2 linked regions of the Notamacropus eugenii genome follow. The protein of the gene in region 2 interacts with the protein of the main gene of each other region in a pairwise test. Links are inferred from orthologs where the notes say so. Each region holds a gene or a part of one and is shown on either strand. Other genes may lie near its edges.

Region 1 (10,086 bases), on a different chromosome or scaffold from region 2:
AAGAGAGACCTCAGATACAAGGCTTTAATCATCATCTCTATGCCAATGCCAGTGCCTACTGGCCTCAGTCTTCCCCCTGTACTGCCATCATCAACAGACTATTAAACATTTCAAACTGGGTATTCCAGAGATATATCCCAAACTCAACATATCCCAAACATAACTTTTTATCTCTATCCCAATCTACTCCTTCCCCAAACTTCCCTATTTCAGTCAAAGGTACAGTCATTTATTTTTCAGTCTTTCAACTTAGACATTATCCCCAGCTCTTTTTCCAAGTCTCCTACCCAATCATTTGTTAGACGTTGTGGTCTCTATCTCCACAACATTTTACTTCTGACACTGTAGTTCAGACTCTCATCACTACAACAGCTTCAGTTCTCTACTTCAGTCCATCCTGCATATGGCTGCCTAAGTGCTTTCTTTAAAATGCAGATCTGACCATATCACTGCCCCACTCAATAACTCTCTTTCCTCTAGAATCAAATATAAACACCTCTGCTTACCTTTTAAAGTCCTTCAAAACCTTGCCCAGCTTGTCTTTCCCTCCTTGTTGGATATGACTGCCTTTCCCACAGTTGGTGATCCAGCCAAACTGGCTTCCTCCTCCTCATTTCCCAGAGCTTTGTACTCCTACTCCCTTATATTTGGGATGCACTCCCCTCTTCACCTCTGCTATAAAGAATTTCTCTCTTCAAGAAGTCCCTCAAGCACCACTTTCTACCCATCCCCTCAATTGTTAGTACCTGATATCTCCAACTTGCACTGTCCCCTGTTACAACGTAAGCTCTTTGTGACAGACTGTTCCCAGTACCTAGCAGAGGACATAGCCGACTGACTGAGAACAGTGATTCTACAAGGTGGTCAAGGAGTCCATTCCCTCTATCAGGGACAACCTATTCAAAAGCACAGAGACAATGTCATATACAGGCCTTAAACAACCTCTGAGCCTCAGTCTCCCTCATCAATTCTCAAATGGATGTGTGAGCTCACCAATTTGGAAGCTTCCTCTTCCAACGGTGTCCATCTGCTGCAATTATATGTCCTGAGAGAAGGTACCTAGAAGTCCTATCCAACCTGTTGCATATTTCCACTATCTCACGGGTTTCTATGAGAATAAAATTGGGAATGTGTATGTAAAGCTCTTTGTAAGCCATAAGGCACTATGCGAAATATACTCAGCTACTCAAGTAACTATAATCATTGATTTCATGTGTTACTCTTTGTGTATGATTCTTAGCAATCAGTCTAACAAAGTTTTAGATAGGCACAGCAAAAACAAAATGATGTCTTTGAAAAGCAAGATGTTTTATGTACAAGACCCTTTGGAATTTCTCTTAAGGTAAAAAAAAAAATATGTATTTTAAAGAAGTCCACATTTCTCAGGAGATATTTATTTTGTCTTTACAGAACTGTACTCACACATATATGCCCCTTACTGCTAATGCCTTCACTATGGGATTTTTTCTTTCTCCTATAATTTGTTTGTACATAACTGTTGCATGATGTTTCCCTAGGCTGTGAGCTCCTTGAGAGCAGAAACTGTTTTTGGCATAAATAAATAAATTTACGAATGAATGACTGAATAAATAAGAACTTGCTGACTTGACTTTTAAGGACCCTGAGCTTCTCTGTGTACCTAAGGCTCATCTTGTTAATACTAATATTCTTCTATTCTATTCTATGGTTGTGAGAGACATGAGAATGAAAATGAATATTGCTAAAATGTCAAAGGAGAGGTATATGAAGGCTGCAAAACGTTAAAAATAAGGAATTACCGAGAAGCTTAGTAAAGAAGGCCATTAAAGAGGGAAGCACCTCCCCCTGTGCGTACAACTTAGAGAACAGGGGCAGACAGTTTCCTCTATACCAATTAAGGGAATGTCCAAATGATGGATTCACACATGCTCTAAGGAAAATCTGATAGGTGACAGGACCAGATGCTAATCAATCAACAAACATTTCCTGGAGCTCACTGCCTGATAGCAAGAGCCACACTCATTTTGCCAGGTCCACCAGCATTAATGTCAGTAGTCTGAGGAAAACATCCTAGCTCAGGTGATGCTAAGAGGAATCTTTTCTATAGCTAGTTGTGAATACTGTTTTCAAAGAAAACTATTTGTTACCATAGTTGGAAAAAAACCAGCTACGTTATCTACAAATATCTAAAATCAATGATTGCAATCCTTTGCATACTACAAGTATCCGTCTAGAGAGATGTCTGGATGATGTTAACGAAAACTGCGCCATCCGGGTTCAGGGTATGAGAGGGTAAAGGGCAAGGTTACTGACTAGATCTAGGCAAATTCCCTTGAGACTTCAGAGTTCTCTCGCTGTTCCAGAAAGGAAAGCAAACACAACGAAGTTTACTAGCTCAAAGGCAGGCAGGCAGACCAGCTCCCTCCAAAGATCAGATTTTACGTTTCCATGCTTGGCCTCAGTAACAACCCGCCGTGAAACTGACAAGCGGGGAGGACGCCCGTGACAACCAAGGAAACAAACTCGACAACGATTCCGGCACCCTACTGAGCGCCGCACCGGGACTCGGGAGACCAGGACTTAAATTCTGCCTGGCCTCACGGGCCTCAGCTTCCTCATCCGTAAGACGAGGGTAACGTTAACCCCTCCTTCCCAGGACTGCTGTAAGGACACAGCACCGTGCCAACCCTGAAGGGCTACACGAATTCTGGAATCTTGTCCTGAAGCAGAAACCCGAGTTCCAGCTGCTCTGTGCGGGCCGCGGTCCCAGCAGGGTCAGCTCTCTGGGCAGCGCCGGGCGGACCTGACCAGACGGCCTGGGCTGAAGCAGAGGCAGGGGCGCAGACGAACTCTTAGGGAGACGCTTGAGCCCAAGTCACAGGTGGGAGGGCTCCGAGCGCGGCAGGAGTACAAGAGAACGCTTTTACCGGACGTCACGGTCCTGTCAACCACGTGTCCGCTCCACCTACGGCCCCACCCCGGGCACGGACTCGGGGTCCGCGGCTGGTGCGGCCCGCCGGGCACAGGCCGGCGCTGCCTACGCAGGCCGGGGGACTCCTTTGCCACGTCCTTGTCCAGGGGGCGAAGGCCACTTCGGCCCCAACTTTCCCACGGCGCGCTCCCCGCACCGCCTGCCCCCGGGTTTCGGGAAAGGCCGGGCGGGCTGGGCACGCGGACCTCCATGCCCTCGCTCTTTCTCCTTTTACGAACACTCCCCCTCCCCCCAGACGGCCCGGCAGAAAAGACTGCGGACCGGCGAGGGGGCGCCCGGCGGGGCCCGGACCCGCGATGACCGCGCACCAACTTTCGGACCCGCCCGCCCGGCGGAGCACTAGCCTGCGGGCGCCCGCCTGGCCCGGACCCCGACAGCCGACCCGGGCCCGTCACGCGCGCCCCGAGCCTCCGGGGCACGCGCTCCGGCTCGGCCCGGGCGGCCCCCAGACCCCGACCTGCACTCCCAGAGGCGGCGGAGGGCAGGCCTCTCACCTGCGAGGGCGGCAGCGCCGAGAAGCGGAGGGTGTCGGCTCCGGGCGGGATCCGCTTCACTACCAGCGACCCCTATGACCCCTGACCTTCTCCCGGCCCCGCCAGGCTGCGGCCCCTGCGCCCACTGACCGGGGTTCGGTCCAGCCGACACCATAGAGACGCCCCCGGAAACGGGACAGAACGCCAGCCTCCGTCCCTCCGACTCCACCAGAGAGGCGGCTGCGCCCGGGACCGCACTAGAGCGGCGCCAGCCCTCGGACCGTGGCGCCGAGCGCTGTCCCTCACCGTAGCCGGCGGAGACAGTCACTCTTGGTCAGGCCTCCGCCCCAAAAGCTATCTCGGGAAGCTTTTCCTTCTAGTACTTCTAAGCCTTACCACCGAGCTCGGGTTCCACTTCCGCCCGAATCCAAAATGGCTGCCCGGCCACTCCGTTTCACGTCGTACGGGAAGGGGGCGGTGCGCCGCGCATCTCCTGCACTCCGATTGGTTCCTCTGCCGGGACTCAAGTTTCCCTGGCGAAGGACTGATGCTTTGGCCGCCATGATGGGTTCGGGCAGACTTTCGTAGGCGATTCCTAGCAGCGCGAGTTCCGCCGGACCTGGCCAGGCGGAGCATTCGACAGGTGAGCCCGGACCTGAGGGCGAGGCCTCTGCTCCCCCGCCCCTCGGTAGTAAGTTAGGTTCCCAGGCCTTTTCTAGATACTGGATAGATTCAAATAAATACAGTGAATCCATTTTTAAAGTCCCGAGTCGCCTGGAAGCCCCACGCTGCGGGGTCTCGGCCGGACGAACGTGGGCCCTTCCTTGCCCGAGGACTGGTCCGGCCTGGTCCGGCCCCTCTCGCACGCCCACTCCCCCGCCCAGGCGGGCCCTTATCCCCGCCAAGGGGGCCTGGGCTCCCCGGTCCCGGCCCCGCCCGCGCGCGCTTCTGCGCTCGGTCCATTGACTTTTACAGAGACGGAGACTGAGCCCCCCGAAGGTGAGCGGCCCGGACGTGACTCCGGCCAGCGCACGTTCACCTGTCCGGAACAAAAAAGCCATTTCCGAAAGTCCCCGGAGGAGCGCCCTTGGGGCCGAGGGCAGAACCCGTGACCGTCAGGTCCCCGGCGGCTCCCGGGTCCGCCCCAGCCTGCGCAGCCGGGCCCGCGGCTTCCGGTGCTCGGGGAACCCTGGCCACGGCCGAGGGGGGGCCGTGAGAACGAAGCTGCCTGGCTTTATGCAACAGAAGTCGTTGAATTTGAATTGAAATCGAACCACGACCGGACTCTGCTCCCCCAGCTTTGCGACCCTTGGTTGGGCAGAGGCCCCTCAGGGACCCGGGGACAGGGGACGCCTTGGCCTTAGGGCCACAGGTGGACGCGCCCTCCACCCCCACCCCCCCGGGCTCCGTCGCTTCAGACTCGGGGTCCGGTGCCATCTGGTCTTCGCGCTACGTGAATGTCCCGCCACCGAGGCGCTCGACCCGTCGCCCAGCCAGCAGACCGGCACCGCCCGCTCCGGTTTCACACGGCTTTGGTTTTGAATGACTTTTCTGGGTAGTGTAAGAAATGGAGCTCGGTTTCTTCAGGCCGAACCTTGGTTCCGTAAACGCCCGGCCGCTTGTTTTCTCCTTCTCGGTCCGCTGAGGTGCCCCCCTCCCCCCTCCTCCCTCTCCCCTCCCTCCTCCCCGCCTCTCTTCTCCCTCCTCCCTCTCCCCTTCCTCCTCCCCCCCTCTCTTCTCCCTCCTCCCTCCTCCCCCCCTTCTCCCTCCTCCCCCCTTCTCCCTCCTCCCTCCTCCCTTTCCCCTCCCTCCTCCCCCCTCCCTTCTCCCTCCTCCCTCCTCCCTCCTCCCCCCTCCCTTCTCCCTCCTCCCTCCTCCCCCCTCCCTTCTCCCTCCTCCTCCCTCCCTCCTCCCCCCCTCCCTTCTCCCTCCTCCCTCCTCCCCCCCTCCCTTCTCCCTCCTCCCTCCTCCCTCCTCCGTCCTCCCCCCTCCCTTCTCCCTCCTCCCTCCCCCCTCCTTCCTCCTCCCCCCCTCTCTTCTCTCTTCTCCCTCCTCCCTCTCCCCTCCCTCCTCCCTCCTCCGGGCCGGTCTCAATCCACCCCCTGGGAGAAGAACTCGTGCCGGACGTGGTGGGAGAAGGAACGAGAAGACTGGAAAGAAAAGAGCAGGTTCAGGCGCTGCGAGGGGGAAGGAGCGGGACGTGCAGGGAAAGCCCTCCCCAAGGGCCGAGCTCAGCCTCCGGCTGGGTCCGAGCCGGGCCGGCAGGTGGGGGGAGGCTTGTGGCTGCTGAGGGGCCGTGGGAGGGGCCGTGTCCTGGGAGTGCCAGGGGGCTCGGAGACCGCGTGGGCATTGCCGGCGGGGGCTGCGCAGTCATCTGGCATCCGGGCCCCAGAGGATGGAAGAGCTCTGAGGGGGGTCTTCAGCCGAGGGAAGGGCATCAAAACCGGGGAAGTGAAGCAAGTGGAAAGGAGGGAGGGCAGGCGAGAACGACTCCGGGGGCCTTCCAAAAATATTCTATTTATAACGTCTCTCCCTCGCTGCGCCCGCTCTGCCAGCTGAACGACGAACAAACAAAAGATGGCCTTCATCCTAAACACGTAGAAGCCGGTAGAAGCCGGCCAAACAAGCTCCTCAGAACGCTCCCCAGTCTGAGGGTACACTTGCCTTCTCCCTTGTGTATTCTTCCAAAGGTCGAAGGAGCACAAGTTACAATATACATTTGTAATATATGCTGAATCAGGGGAAACCGTACGGGCAAGGGTTCTAGTCCTAGGATAGGTCAGTTCTAGACCAAATCCAGACTTCCACTGCTCCAGACCAGCAGAACATCAGAAAGACGGTGATAAGCTTGATGAAGCGGACATGCTGACTTTGAAGTTGTACAGGTAACTTTGAGACGCTCTGGATGTTAATGAACCCCCTCCAAGGCTCTGGCCTGGCCTCCCCCAAACCCCATCAAAGTGAGACTCCACCAGACCATGCTGCCCAGTGCTCCCAACTCGGGTCCATACTCTTCCTCATCCCCTTCCCCATCCATTCCCTCTGTATCCCTCCCCACTTTTCAGTGCTTGTCTGTGCCTTAATAAAGTGTGTTTGCTGCCCCGTTTCCTGTTGCCAGTCATGGACTTTCTTGGCAAGTACCCAGAGAACTGAGAGCTTGCCTACTCCCATTTCATAATTTTGTAGGTCCATAAATTATCAATTCAGCGACTAAAATTAAAAGAAGGGAAATTAGTGATTTAAACATTAAGCTCCCATTGTCAGACCCACTCTGAAGGAATCTAGACTCTTTTGGGGGGTCACAGATCAGTGATTACCTCTATAGCTTTCCTAGTGCAGATGTAGCCTTTATTAGGATAAAGTATAGCAGAACTATTATTTCCTCATACACTTCAGTTAGACATTAGATGCCCAGCATGTACAAGGTTACCATGCCAGATGTAGATACAAAACAAAAGCAAGAATGCCCAACTGCAAGAAATTTACATTCTTTTGGAGGAATAAACCAAATCAGTTGAGGATGAAGAGACTACTACCAACTTGGTGAGGAGAAGGGAAAAAAATTGGGAAGTTCCAATGGAGGAGTCAGGCCTGGAGCTGAACCTTGAAGAAAAAAACAACTAAGGTTGGAAAACAGAGTGATTAAGAAGGCTCTTTCCAGGAATGGGGGATGACTTAAGCATGCATATCAGAAGTGTAAGTCAGATTCCACCCAAGCCTGGGGCAGTTTTGTCTTCAGCTTTTTTTGGCTTCTGATTTGACTTTTGAGGGCTGAGCCTGATGACTTCTTATGGGCTTTAAGACCTTAATTTAAAAAGGCCAAAGTCTCCCATCGTATCCAGCGCCACCTCCAGTCATCCTGATCTGTACCTTACCACTGGACTCAGCACTGGTGGAGAAAGTCAGGCTGATCACTTTGCTGGTCACTGACTTAAATCCAATTCACTCACATGGCATAGCATCACTTCCTTAAAGTCATGGTCCACTACTAAAGGACAAATGACAACAAGGGACTTAATTCAATCGGTTATTGAGATTCTTCAGAGATCTTGGAAAGCAACTGAGAAAAAGCTTCCAAATGCCAGACTATAGTTTTCTAAGTGGCAGACGTGAAGAAACCAGCTCTTCTCAACTCCTGGGCCTGTAATTCTAGAGACTGCCGAGAGAAGACCTTTCCTGTGTGGGATTGTTCTCCTGACTTGAGCTGAGATCATTTTTAAAATTTCAGCTGAAGAAGGAATTAATGTTCCTTTATTCTTGTGTATTTCCTGTACACTATAATCTGTAGAACTTCTCTAATTTATGTATGCTTTATTGTTTGGATAAATGTATTCATTATTAGCTCTTTGTGATGATCTTTTGTATAAATCATATTTGGGAGGGTGGGGCTAATCTGCCAGGGTATTCTTTTGAACATATTATACCCTTAGATACTATAGATACTGGATGTTACAAATAGAGGCAATTGGAGCCTAAAACTCTCTTGAAGAGAGATTTCCTGGTCCCTGCCTGCCCCTGTCCCCAGCTATAGTGTTTTGCATTACTGGCAAAGTCTTTCTCCAGCTCCCTGAAAGGTGGGTCATCAGCTGCAGTTGCATCATCCGCTACATCAGGGTAGATACAGAAGGTATTACAGATGAATCCAGGAGTTATGGTAGACTAGAAGACTGAAACACTGAACTCTATGAGAAAGGACAGAGAGTGACCTGAAAGCTAATCAGAGGTCACAACAGTTATCTGAACAGTGACAGAGATGGAGTATACATCAAAGAACAGGCTGCTGAATTAAAATGATAGATAATAGTGTGGGGCAAGAGAGCATATAGCTCCTTTTTCTGCTGCTGTGTGTCACTTGGCTTGAGAGACAGAATGGCCAACACTGGGAAAGGGAAGGTTTCTAGGAATGAGTGTTCTGGGAAAAACAAGACTGTCCAGAGTATGGAAAAAGTGAGGGGTGGAAATGGCCCCTCTGGGGAGGGCAAAGTAGAGAGGTCCAAGATATGATCTAGGGAGGAGAGATCGGAGACCAATAGAAGACAGGGAGTGGAAATTGCAGGTTAAGGATACTACCTGTCTCTTAATGTAACATGAGGTGTTCTGTTTTGGATTTTTGGCTGCAAATGACTAGTCTGAAACCCAGATCTGCCCCTTTCACTGCTTTTGTAAGTGTAAGTACCTCCTGATTCACTTTCCTATCTTATCTCTTCTCCCTCATCAATTATTCCTCCACATAGCTGACAAACTAATTTTCCTGAAGTACAGGTGTGACCATGTTACTTCTTTACTTCGCAAACTCCAATGGTTCCCATCGCCTCTAGGATCAGACATAAACCTCTCTGCTGAGTTTTTCAATCCCTTTGCAACCAAGACCCAGTGTACCTTTCCAGTCTCAGTCTACATATCCCTTTCCTGTACTCCATGATTCTCTACTTGTCCTTCACATAGGGCACCCCATCTCCCACCTTGGCATCTTGCCAGTGCCAGGAGACTTCTCACTTTCGCTCCTATCTTTTAGAATCTCATCTTATAGAAATTTGGAACCATGTCCAATATGTTATTAAAATGTATGCCTTCTGACTTGGCTTTTTCACTATTAGGCCTATAAACCAAAGAAATCAAAGAAAGAGGAAAAGTATCTACATGTGCAGAAATAATTATAGCAATTTTTTACAGGATAGCCAAAAAATTGGAAACTAGGGGACTAAGGAAACCATGCAGGGGAATGGTTAAACAAATTGAACTATATGGATAAAATGAAATATCACCATGCCATAAGAAATGATGAAATAAACAATTTCAGAAGAACCTAGGGAGATCTTTATGAAACGATGCAGATAGAAGTGAACGGAAATAGGAGAACAGTTTATCCAATGACATCATAGAGAAAACAACTTTGAAAACCTTAAGAATTCCAATTAACAGCATTAATTCAATGATAAACCATAAGTTCATCACATTCTGATAGAGAAATAATGAACTTAAAATGCAGAAAATGACATACGTTTTCAGACATGGCTAATGTGGGCATCTGTTTTGTAGGTTATATGGCTATGAACTGAGGGAATCTGGGGTTTTTTTTTTTAATTTTCTCAGTGGGAGAGTAGTAGGAGAAAAAGATTAACTTTTAAAACTTGATACTTGAAAAATAAAAAATATTAAATATTTTTTTTAAAAATCTCATTTCCTTCCAAACTCTGCTCAAGCACCACTTTCTAACATGCAGCCTTTCCTAGGCCCTCCAATACTCATACTGTTTCTCTCACCCCCAGATTTACGTTGTACATATTTTGCATATACTTCTTTACATACATGTTGTTTCTCCCAATAAAAGACAGCAGAGATTGTTTCATTTTTTCTTTTCATTCCAAAACCTTGTACATAGTGTTTAATAAATCCATGCTTTATTAATATAATTAATAACAGTTATTCTGCACTTGACAAATAAGAAACATGAACATCTTAAGAAGATTATATGAGAACAAAAATCTTACTACGTACAACTTTTCTTTTAAAGTACATACTCATTCAGCATGTGCATTCCAAAACTGTTTCACTTATCTGTTACCCTCTGAACCTTCTTTCTGATTTCTTCTTTGGATTTTCTTTTAAATTCTCATTGATTTTTTTCCTCTCATTTGTTGT
Region 2 (10,218 bases):
CCAAGTTTTACAGAACAGATCCTTTTATTTAGGGGATCTGTTTTGTGAAGTTTGGATTCAGTCAAAGCACAACATTTGAGGACCTAGAAAGCCACATGTGACCTGGAGGCCACAGGTTCCCCATCCATGGATATGATTCTGGAGTTATAATAGGAACCACCAGAGTGACTGAAATGACATGATCCAAACTTTAAAAAAAAATCACTTGGATTCCAGTGTGAAGTGAAGAGAAACTAGAGGTAGGAAGACCAATTTCAAGGCTATTCAAATCCAGGCAAGAGCTGATACTGTTACGAACTAGGATGGAGAGATGGCAGATGAAAAAGGTATTGTAGAAGGCCAATAAGCATGAAAGATAATGACAGAATGGATAGGGGGGTGAGGGAAAGGGGAAGATTCAAGGTTATGAACCTGGGTTGACTAAAAAGATGGGTAGTTGGATAGCAACTGTACTGGGCTTAGAGTTAGGAAGACTCACCCTTTCTGAGTTCAAATCAGGCCTAAGACACCAATAGTTAGTTGTGTGACCCCAGGCAAGTTACTTTAACCCTGTTTGACTCAGTTTCCTCCAAGAAGGAAATGGCAAACCAATTCAGTATTTCTGCCCAGAAAATCCCAAATGGGGTCAGGGAAAGAGTCAGATGAGATTGAACAACAATAAAATAGCTGAAAAGATGGCGTCCTTTAGATTGGGAGAAATTTGGAAGGAACAGGGGTGGGTTTGGAAGACAAAGGAAGACATTTTGGACATATTTAGTTTGAAATATCAAAGAGACAGTACAGTTTGTGATGGAGAACTGGAGATCAAGAGAGATTCAGACTTTATGAGATCTGGGAGTCACCATGTGTTCAGTCATTTTTTCAATCATGTACGACTCTTTGTGACTCCATTTGGAGTTTTCTTGGCAAAGATACTGGAGCAGTATGCCATTTCCTTCTTCAGTTCACTGTACAGAGGAGAAAACTGAGGCAAACAGGGCTAAATGACTTGCCTGAGGCCACTGAGGTCATCAATAAATCAAGACTTCCTTTGATACAGGCTAAAGGAAAGTCTAGTCAAACTGCTATTTCTCCCACAAGAAACTATGTCTCCTAAATCCATGTCATTGCATTGGTTGTCCCTCATGCCTGGAATGCACTCCCATCTCACCTGGTCAGTCTTATAAAATGTTCCTTCAAAATTCTGCTGAATTTCCACCTTCAATAGGAAGCATTTCCTGATTTCCACAACTGGTAGTGTCATTCCCCCCACTGATTTTATTTTGTATACTTATTTATGTTGTCTCCCTTGATGGCAAAGGTTATATCACTTGCCTTTGTATCCCCAGTAGCATAAGAGAATGTATAGAGAAGTTAAAGAGCATGGTGTAGAAGTTAGGAGACATGCAGGAGGGGATAAGTGGAGAGTGGATAAGGCAGGAGAATCAATAATAAAACAAAAGCCAAAAATAGTGTCACAAAATTCCAGAAAGGGATGGACAGTCAATGTCACATGCTTCAAAGAAGTCAAGAAGAGAACTTGTTTACTCAGTCATCTTTTCCCTCTAACCAAATACTAACCAGTGAGTCCTGCAGGAGATGTGGGAGGTGACTGGAAAGGGGACCTCCTTAGTCTCCTTTGAGAGGGTGACTGACATTCTATAACTGGATCCAGATGTGGCAAGATGGCCTACCTTGTTTCCAAACCTACCTCAACTAGTCTGCTTGGAGAAACGTCAGTCTTAAGAAGGTCTCAGCTGTTACATTAGGAACTCAAAAGCTATAAAAATAAATGCCTCATATCCCCATTATCTTTACTTCCAGATCTCCATCCTGGATTAACTGACTTCTAAATTTTGCAGCAGTAATGTCAATCAATAAGGCCTCAATTATTCTGCAGGGAGCAGGGCCTGGGTAAAGCACTAAAACATTTTTCATTGATTCTTTTTGTTTCCTCTCCATACCTCTAGTTTTTGCACCCATACCTCCCAAACTCTATGGTCTATGCTCCCTCTACCCCACCCTACCTCCATATGAACCTGTTTTTCCCCAAATCCAAACAGTCCCACTTTCACAGAGGCGCAGCATGTTCCCTCACAGAGAAAGGGGTGGGGGTGGCGCAGCAGGGTGTTAGGGACAGAAAATATGATAAATTAGAGCTGAAAGAAGAACTCTCCCCACCCCCAACTCCTGCATTTTCTGTGACAAGTCAGTCTGGTCAAAGGCAAAACAGTCACCAGAAAAAAGCTGTTCTCCCCCTAACATGCGTTAATTCTAAAGCCAAGGATGATGAAGCAAACTGGTTGCTGCGCAGATATTATGCCCCTGTTTGCCAAGCCGGTTCGGTCTTGTGTTTTTTTAAGAGAGGAAGGAGCCCATGTCTCTCTTCCCCCGCCCAATTAATTCCAAGGACAAAAGGTCTAGAAGCCCGAAGATGGAACCAGAGCTGAATAAACCCTTGAAAGGACATAAACAAACAGGGCGAAGCCGCAGAGCCATCGCCATGGTGGCCACCCTGATCAACAGCTTTCTCTTGGCGTTCTTCCATGCAGTCAAGAAAAGACCCCATCCTACCCATTCTCACACAAGAGCGCCGCATCTTGAACACAAGCACCACCTACACAAACGCACCTGGCGCACTCCTGAGTCACTGGGCTTCATCTCCGAACACGCACGTATCAAGGCAGTGATGGTGCATTGCCCCCATTCCTCAGACTCACAACAACACACATTCTCTGCTGATGCTCAGTTTAGAAGCCCCCTATGCCTCTGCTACTAACGGTGGGGTGCGGGATGTCATCAGTAGGGATATCCAGTTTACATTATTAGGGAATTGGAGACGAAATGTCTTCCAAGGACCCTTCCTGCTCCTCAGGTCAGAGAGCTGTCGCGTCCCCATCCCCTCCCCCTCCTTCTTCCTTTCCTCCCACCCTTTCTCCAGGCCCCCAAACCACTCACAGGGACTCTGTCAGGGTATTTCTTCCGAATCTTCTCCCCTTCTTTTTTCCGGTACTCGAAAGGATGATCCTCCTTGTATTGGAATTTCATGATGCTCCGCAGCGTCTCCGATCTCCCCTGGGGGGCCTGGCTTAAGCGGAGTGGATGGTTTCGCCGAGTCTGTCTTTTCCCGGTCGAAGTACAATACGAAGAGCCTTAGCGGTGCCAACCTCTGCTGCCCTGCCCGCTCTGCTCCACCAGTCCGCGGAGAGCGCTCAGAACTGAGGCCCCGGCTGGCCCGGGCTGGGAGGTGGAGAAAGAGCCGGCGTGGGGGTGGGGAAATCCTGCAGCGTTCTTGGAAGAGCCGGGAACACACAGGCAACACAGTAGCAAGCCTGGTATTGTGACGTCACAAAGCTCCGCCCTTCCCTCCCTCACAATGTTCTAGACCCGTCCCGGTGCTGACTCCGAACCGGGGGCCAACGAAAATGTTGTTCAAATGAGCCCACGATATTAACTTTCCTTTTTAAAAAAATCCTTCACCAAATCTTTTTAATCAAAACCTCGTATGGTCTAAAACGCTATTTGTTTCTTTCGTTACGGAATGTCTTAAGGCAAGGTACCAAAGATGCGTACTTCTCCCCCTCCACTTCGTCGTGGGGTTTTTTTGGTTGAATCCAGGAGCAGTTACCAGAGATTAAAGTCCAGCCTTTCTAAGCACATTGGGGTGGCTGGCTGTGGTTGGGGGTGTGAAGTAAGGGGTGGAGGGGTGAGGAGGTGGGAGTGGAAGACCTGCTACGTGTGGGGCAGATACAGAAATCTTTAAGTGTTCTCTCGGCCTTTCTTCTGAGGGTCCTCTCAGTTTACCCAGGGATTCTGCCTGCGCACTTCTATGTATTGTTTTTGTTTGTTAGCTGCAAATTACTAGACTGAGGAACCACATAAACAAGGTGACTAAGGGCTTTAGAAGGATAGAGAATGAGGAAAAATGCAATCCTGGCTTAGAGAGGCTAAGGTGCTGGAGTAGAATTTCCCTTTTAGTGGACTCTTCCAAACCTCGTTTCCAGCCCTTTCCCCACCCTCCTCTTAGAATCACTAGTGTTGCAAGGCCTCACTGCTGAAAGAAAGAAAAACAGAAATCATGTGATGAGGATGAACTGGGCCTTACCCACTACTGTCTGCCAAGAGACTTGTCAGCAGCCACCGGCCCGAATTGGGGAGAGGAGGTAACCAGGGGGATAAACGCAGCATCACAAAATTCCATAGCATTAGACTAATAAAAGATTTGATTTAAATAGCTTTAGGTTAAAATGTTCCTTTGCATGGTTCCCTTGACAACAATCTAGGAGGCAGATGGTGCAGTTATTATTATTTTTATGGTACTGATGAGGAAACTGAGACCAAGAAGAATTAATTGACTTGGCCAAGGTCAAATGGCGTTTAGTAGGCCTCTAATTCAAACTGGGTTTTTCTGCCTTCAGATTCAGTGGTGCTTGGGGACCGAGGACTTGCTTTAGCTGACCTATGAAGAAACTTTCTGAAAAGCCAATCACTCCTAAAATTGTAAATCACTGGAAACTGAGTTGAAATGTCCCTTTGATGTAGTTCACCATGTATCTCAGAAAGAATTCCTCCCACAAATCCAATTAAGTGGTTATCCTGCCTCTCTGCCTAAGGACCTCCAGTGATAGGGAACTGATTGCATCTGTGGAAGCATATTAAAAACCTCTTTTTTTTAGTTCAGCTGAAAATATTAAAAAATAATATTTTCCAGCCAAAACCCTTCTCAAACTTTTCCTTTTAGGGGAAGCCTACAAATTAAGGCCTTAGTAAATGGATTAGATGTGGTAACCAATTTAGGACAACAAAAAAATTGACTTGGCCAGTTTAAGATCACTGGTGTTCCCATTTTGAAAGGATTAGGATTTTGATTAAAGGGTGTTTCCTTTTATTTACTCCTGGAGAACTCTTGAGGGGTCAAGGAAGGAAATGGGTTGTTATTAAGTGACTATTGTTCTATTTGATACAGTAGGATGCTAAACCAAAATTGTATTTTAATATTTTTGTGTCCTTTTCCTTAATCAAGACTCCTGTTACCTCAAGTTGTCTGATGACAGATTTCCAAAGGAATGGGGTTTGGGGAGCTTACTTATTTGGTCATTTCTTTCTCTAACGCATAGACTGGATTTAGAATAATGTTAAATGAATAAAATTTGTTTTCTGAAAGACTTGAGGCTAAAACAAAATTATAGTCATTAATATTTTTCTTCAACTCATTCCAAAGCAACCCCTTCCACTTTGTGATCTCTGTTAGAAAGTCTTTCTGTACATTAAGGCTAAGTTTACCGCATTACAACTCCTACCCATTCCCTGTAGTTCTGCCCCAAAGGGCAAATCAAATCATCTACCATGTGACAGATCTTCAGATACCTAAAGACAGCTATGATGTTTGCCAAGCATCCTTATCTCCATGTTAGCCATTACAGGTTCACTCAGCAGATTGGCATGTATCGAGCTTTTAACTCACTTTGCGAGAAAACGGGCCATCATGCCACTTTCTGGCCATTTCCAAACTATACCTCTGCATCTAACCTCATCCCTCTTTCTACCTTCCCATTATATTTTTCTCACCTGAAAATATTAAGAAATAATACTTTTCCATCCTGAAACATTCCTCAAACTTAAGCGCTTTGAGGGTAGGACTAAGGTACTTCATTATATTTATGTTCTTAAATATCTAGAACAATATTTGACATATGCAAAGTTTATTAAATCCTTTTTCACTCATTTAATTCATCACATGAATGTTAAGCTCTTCACAGTCCTGGTTACCATTCTCTGAAACTCTCAGCTTTTTATAATACCTCCCCAAGTGCGGCACCCCAAAATGAACACAATGATGTAGTTGTGATCTGATCGTGGCAGAGTAGAACATGTTCATCATTTTATTTATGGATATTGTATATTTCTAAATACAGTCAGAAATACATTAGCATTTGTAGAAGCATAAAAGCCTTATTGTCAGTTTCACCAACTGTATTAAGAAAAAATATTTCTCTTGTCTTAAAAAAACGTTCTAAGCTTCTCCCTATTCAAAAGTAATTGATTAAGAATGAAAACCAAACTTTTAATTGAGGTTACCTATGAGCTTCCCAACCCTCAGAAGCAATTGGGCTGTAATTCACCTAAGGGTAGTGCCCCTATTATCCATTTAAAAGAATTATGATATGGATCTGGGGAGGAGGTCATGGGATAGGACTATACATACTTGAGGGGAGTGGTCAAAGAAAGATGTAAGTGGTTATCAATTGACTATGTTCCATCTGTTGAAATAGAATATTAACCCAAAATTTATTTTCTTTGTTCAAAATTCCTATAAAAGTTTCCTTAAATTCTTCTGGGAAGTGAGACTTGTTTAAGGACGTGGGGGAACTATGCCAATTTGAATATTTCTCTCTTCAATTTAGAAATGACTTGTATACTGTTAGTATTTAATGTTAAATAAAATTATTCCTGACATACTATATATGCAGAAAATATAGAGATATGAAGAAATATATATGTATATATAGAGATAAATAGAATATTTGAATATATATAAAAATATATATGGAAATGAGAGGGTAGAGCCAAGATGGTAGAAAAAAGGCAGAGACCTGCCTGACCTCTCCCAAATTCCCATTCAAACAACTGTAAAATAATGTCTCAGAATGAATTCTGAATGGCAGAACCCACAAAGATAGAGTGAAACAATTTTCTAGCCCAAGATAACCTAAAAGGTCAGCAGGAAAGGTCTGGTATACTGGAATGAGAGTGGAGATCAGTCCAACAAAGGCAGAACCCCTCAGCAAGAAGCAACAGACCTGGGGGCAATGGACTTGGCTTCTGGAGCTCTCAGCCCACCGATGGTAAGGAGGTCAGAAGGAGATTACAGAGATCCCTTTGTTAGCATTGGGTAAAGGACTCTGTTGCATTGCCCAAAGGTGGGTTACTGAAAGCCATGATCAAAAAAAGAGCCTAGACATCATCTTTCAAGAAATTATCAAACTGCCCTAATATCCTAGAATCAAAGGGTAAAATAGAATCACCTCCTGAGAGGTGAAATGAAATGAAATTGAAAACTCCCAGAAATATCATAGCAAAATTCTAGAACTCTCAGGTCAAGGAGAAAATATTACAAGCACTCAGAAAGAAACCATTCAAATATTGTGGAGCCATAATCAGGCTAACAGAAGATTACATTACATTAGAGAACTTGGAATGTGATATTCTGGAGGGCTAAGCAGCTAGAATTAGAGCCAAGATTAAACTATGAGCAACATGGAGTTATAATCCTTCAGGAGGAAAAATGAGTATTCAATGAAATAGAGGATAAAAAGACTAGAGCTGAATAGAAATTTTGACTTTTAAATACAAGACTCAAGAGAAACATAAAAAGGTAAACGCAAAAGAGAAATCATAAGGGATTCAATAAGATTAAACTGTTTATAGTCTTACATGGGCAGATGATACTTGTAACTCGTAAGAACTTTATCATTTTGGGGGCAATTAGAAGGAATGTACATAAAGGCCATGGGCATGAATTTAGATGAGATGATGTCTAAAAACATAAAATAAAAAGATAATAAAAAGAATGCACTGGGAGGAGGAAGGGAGAGGTAGAATGGGGGGATATTCCCTCAAAAAAAGAAGTAAGAAGGAGCTTTTATAGTGGAGAGGAAGATAGGGGAAATGGGGAGGAATGCTTTAACCTTACTTTCATTGGAATTGGCTGAAAGAGGGAATAACATACACATTCAGCTGGGTATAAAAATCTATTGTACCTTACAGGAAAGTAGGAGGGAAAGGGAATAAGAGAAGGGGGTGAGGTACTGCTGATAGAAGGGAGAGCAGATTGGGGGAGGCAGTAGTCTTGAAGCAAAACACTTTCAAGGATGAGCAGAGTGAAAGGAGAGAAAGAGTATGGTAAATGGGGGTGGGGGAGGCAAATACACAGTAATTATAACTGAAAATTTTTTACAGTTGTCTCTGATGAAGGTCTCATTTCTCAAATGTATAGAGAAGTGAAGCAAATTTGTAAGAATACAAGTCATTCCCCAACTGATAAATGGTCAAAGGATATGAATAGGCAGTTTTCAGAGGCTGTAATCAAAGCTATCTATAGTCATATGAAAAAAATTCTCTAAATCTGTATTGATTACAGAAATGCAAATTGAAATAACTCTGGGGTGCTCCACACCTATCAAAAAAGGAAAACAACATGTTGGAATGGATATGGGAAAATTGAGACACTAATGCATTGTTGGTAGAATTGAGAACTGATTTAACCATTCTGGAGAACAATTTGGGGCTATGCCCAAAAGGCTATAAAATCCTTTGATCCAGCAATACCACTACTAGGTCTGCATCCCAAAGAGATGAAGAACAAAAAGGAAAAGGATTTAAATGCAAAAAAAAATCATATCAGCTCTTTTTATGGAGCAACAAATTGGAAATTAAGGGGATGCTCATCAGTTGGAGAATGGCAGAACAAGTTGTGGTATATGATTGTGAAATACTATTGTGCTATAAAAGATGATAAGCAGGATGTTTTCAGAAAAACCTGGAAAGATTTACATGAACTGATGCAAAATGAAATGAGCAGAACCAGGAAAAAATTGTACACAGTAACAGCAATATTATGATGCTCAACTATGAATGACAACTATTCTTAGCAATACTGATCCAAGGCAATTCTGAAGGACTTGTAATGAAAAATGCTGTCCATCTCTGGAGAAAGAACTGATGGATGCAGATTGAAAATACTTTTTTTACTTTACTTTTTTTGTTTTTGTTTGTATTTTCCCTTACAACATGACTGTTACATAAATGTGTTTAGTGTGATAGCACATGTACAACCTATATCAAATTACTTGCCTTCTGAAGTAGGGAGGAAGAGAAAGAAGGAGGGAGAGAATTTGAAACTCAGATTTTTAAAAGATGAATGTTAAAAATTGTTTTTACATATAACTGGAAAAAATATGAAATATGAAAAAAATAAAATACATAGTACAGTATTAATATTTTTCTTTGATACTTTTTTCTATCATATCATGTTTTTGATCCATATTGCGTTAAATGAACTCTCAGTTTGGAAACTGAAGAAATAATTGTAAAGTCTGATAGGTTAAAAAAACAACAGAAACTAGAGAAGTTATAGCTATATAGCACAGTGCCTTTATCGTCTTGAACAAAGACTACATTTTCTCTTTAATGAATTTCAAATGATCAATGTAACTCTTGACTTCTGGGCTTTCAACCAGAGGGCATTGATTTAGAGACTATCAATACAGAAGACAGACTAACAGTGCAGGCCTACCACAGGCTGGGTCCCTGGTTGTTGCTCATCCTTTGACTTCGAAGAGGACCAATGAAATCATGGGTGATGTCTTGACTTGGATGTGAGCTGTATAATCGAGGCAGAGTTGCACTGAGTCATCAGCCTCACTCTCCCCAAATTATCAAAGTCCAGGGTGAGGGGACCCTTCTTCATTCATCTTGATCTATATCTTGCCATCGGACCCAGATGGTTCCAGAAGAGAAGGTGAGGTTGGTGAACTTGCATAGCCCTTCCTCATTTAAATCCAATTCTTTTGCAAGTCATGGCATCATCTTCCTGATGTCATGGTCCTCTTCAAGAATGATGGACAAACAACAATCAAAGTACAGTGGAAGGACAAAGGTCAAGATGACTGGCAACAGTCCAGGATGCACTAGATGACCTTTGTGTCTTTAATGCCTGACCAAACTCTAAGAGCTCCATATCACCCTTTAGCTGCTGTCATGGCCATTGGAACATATAGTTCTCATCCACTCTTTCTGCCAGGAAAAGTCTCCACATGTTTGGGGTAGACATTTCTCTAACTCACCAACAAGTCTGAGGCCTGTTGGTTACCCTCAACATGGTTTAGCCCATCTGCCCCGTTGGTTTACCAGGGTATGGCTGCTGTACATGCTACAGTTTCTTAGAGTCACAGGTGAGAGTTGGGTGAAGGTGGACCTCAAAGGTGGCTGAGCAGCCCTGCATATGACTTGGCAGCCATCACACCTGGGGTTCTAGTCCTCTCTGAACACCCAAAGGTCCTTAGTAGTTTAGATATGAAGTCAGAGTGAAACTGGATACTCACAATCCATGTTTACAAAATGTTTACTCAGCCTTGCGGGGAGGAAGGGAATGACTCAACTGAACAAAGTTTCCTAATATTGTTCATCATGCTGATCTATTGTCCTCAACCTCAGGGAAAGAGACTTTAGACCCTTGAG

What was found.
Region 1: the proteins of GABARAPL1 (region 2) and SCYL3 interact in binary tests that used the Homo sapiens proteins (3 or more experiments, as listed by UniProt). The two-hybrid records come from large-scale screens. The link is inferred for Notamacropus eugenii from reciprocal best matches to the Homo sapiens genes GABARAPL1 and SCYL3.

What each region holds. Positions count from the first base shown.
Region 1 is NC_092873.1:476,482,496-476,492,581, reverse strand, and holds the start of SCYL3 (protein-associating with the carboxyl-terminal domain of ezrin), read right to left. Parts: upstream 4,166-10,086; 5' UTR 4,081-4,165; coding exon 3,841-4,080; intron 3,820-3,840; exon of another isoform or gene 3,751-3,819; intron 3,594-3,750; exon of another isoform or gene 3,466-3,593; intron 1-3,465. UniProt on the Homo sapiens protein: May play a role in regulating cell adhesion/migration complexes in migrating cells.
Region 2 is NC_092874.1:200,019,599-200,029,816, forward strand, and holds the start of GABARAPL1 (gamma-aminobutyric acid receptor-associated protein-like 1), read right to left. Parts: upstream 3,720-10,218; 5' UTR 3,028-3,719; coding exon 2,938-3,027; intron 1-2,937. UniProt on the Homo sapiens protein: Ubiquitin-like modifier that increases cell-surface expression of kappa-type opioid receptor through facilitating anterograde intracellular trafficking of the receptor. Involved in formation of autophagosomal vacuoles.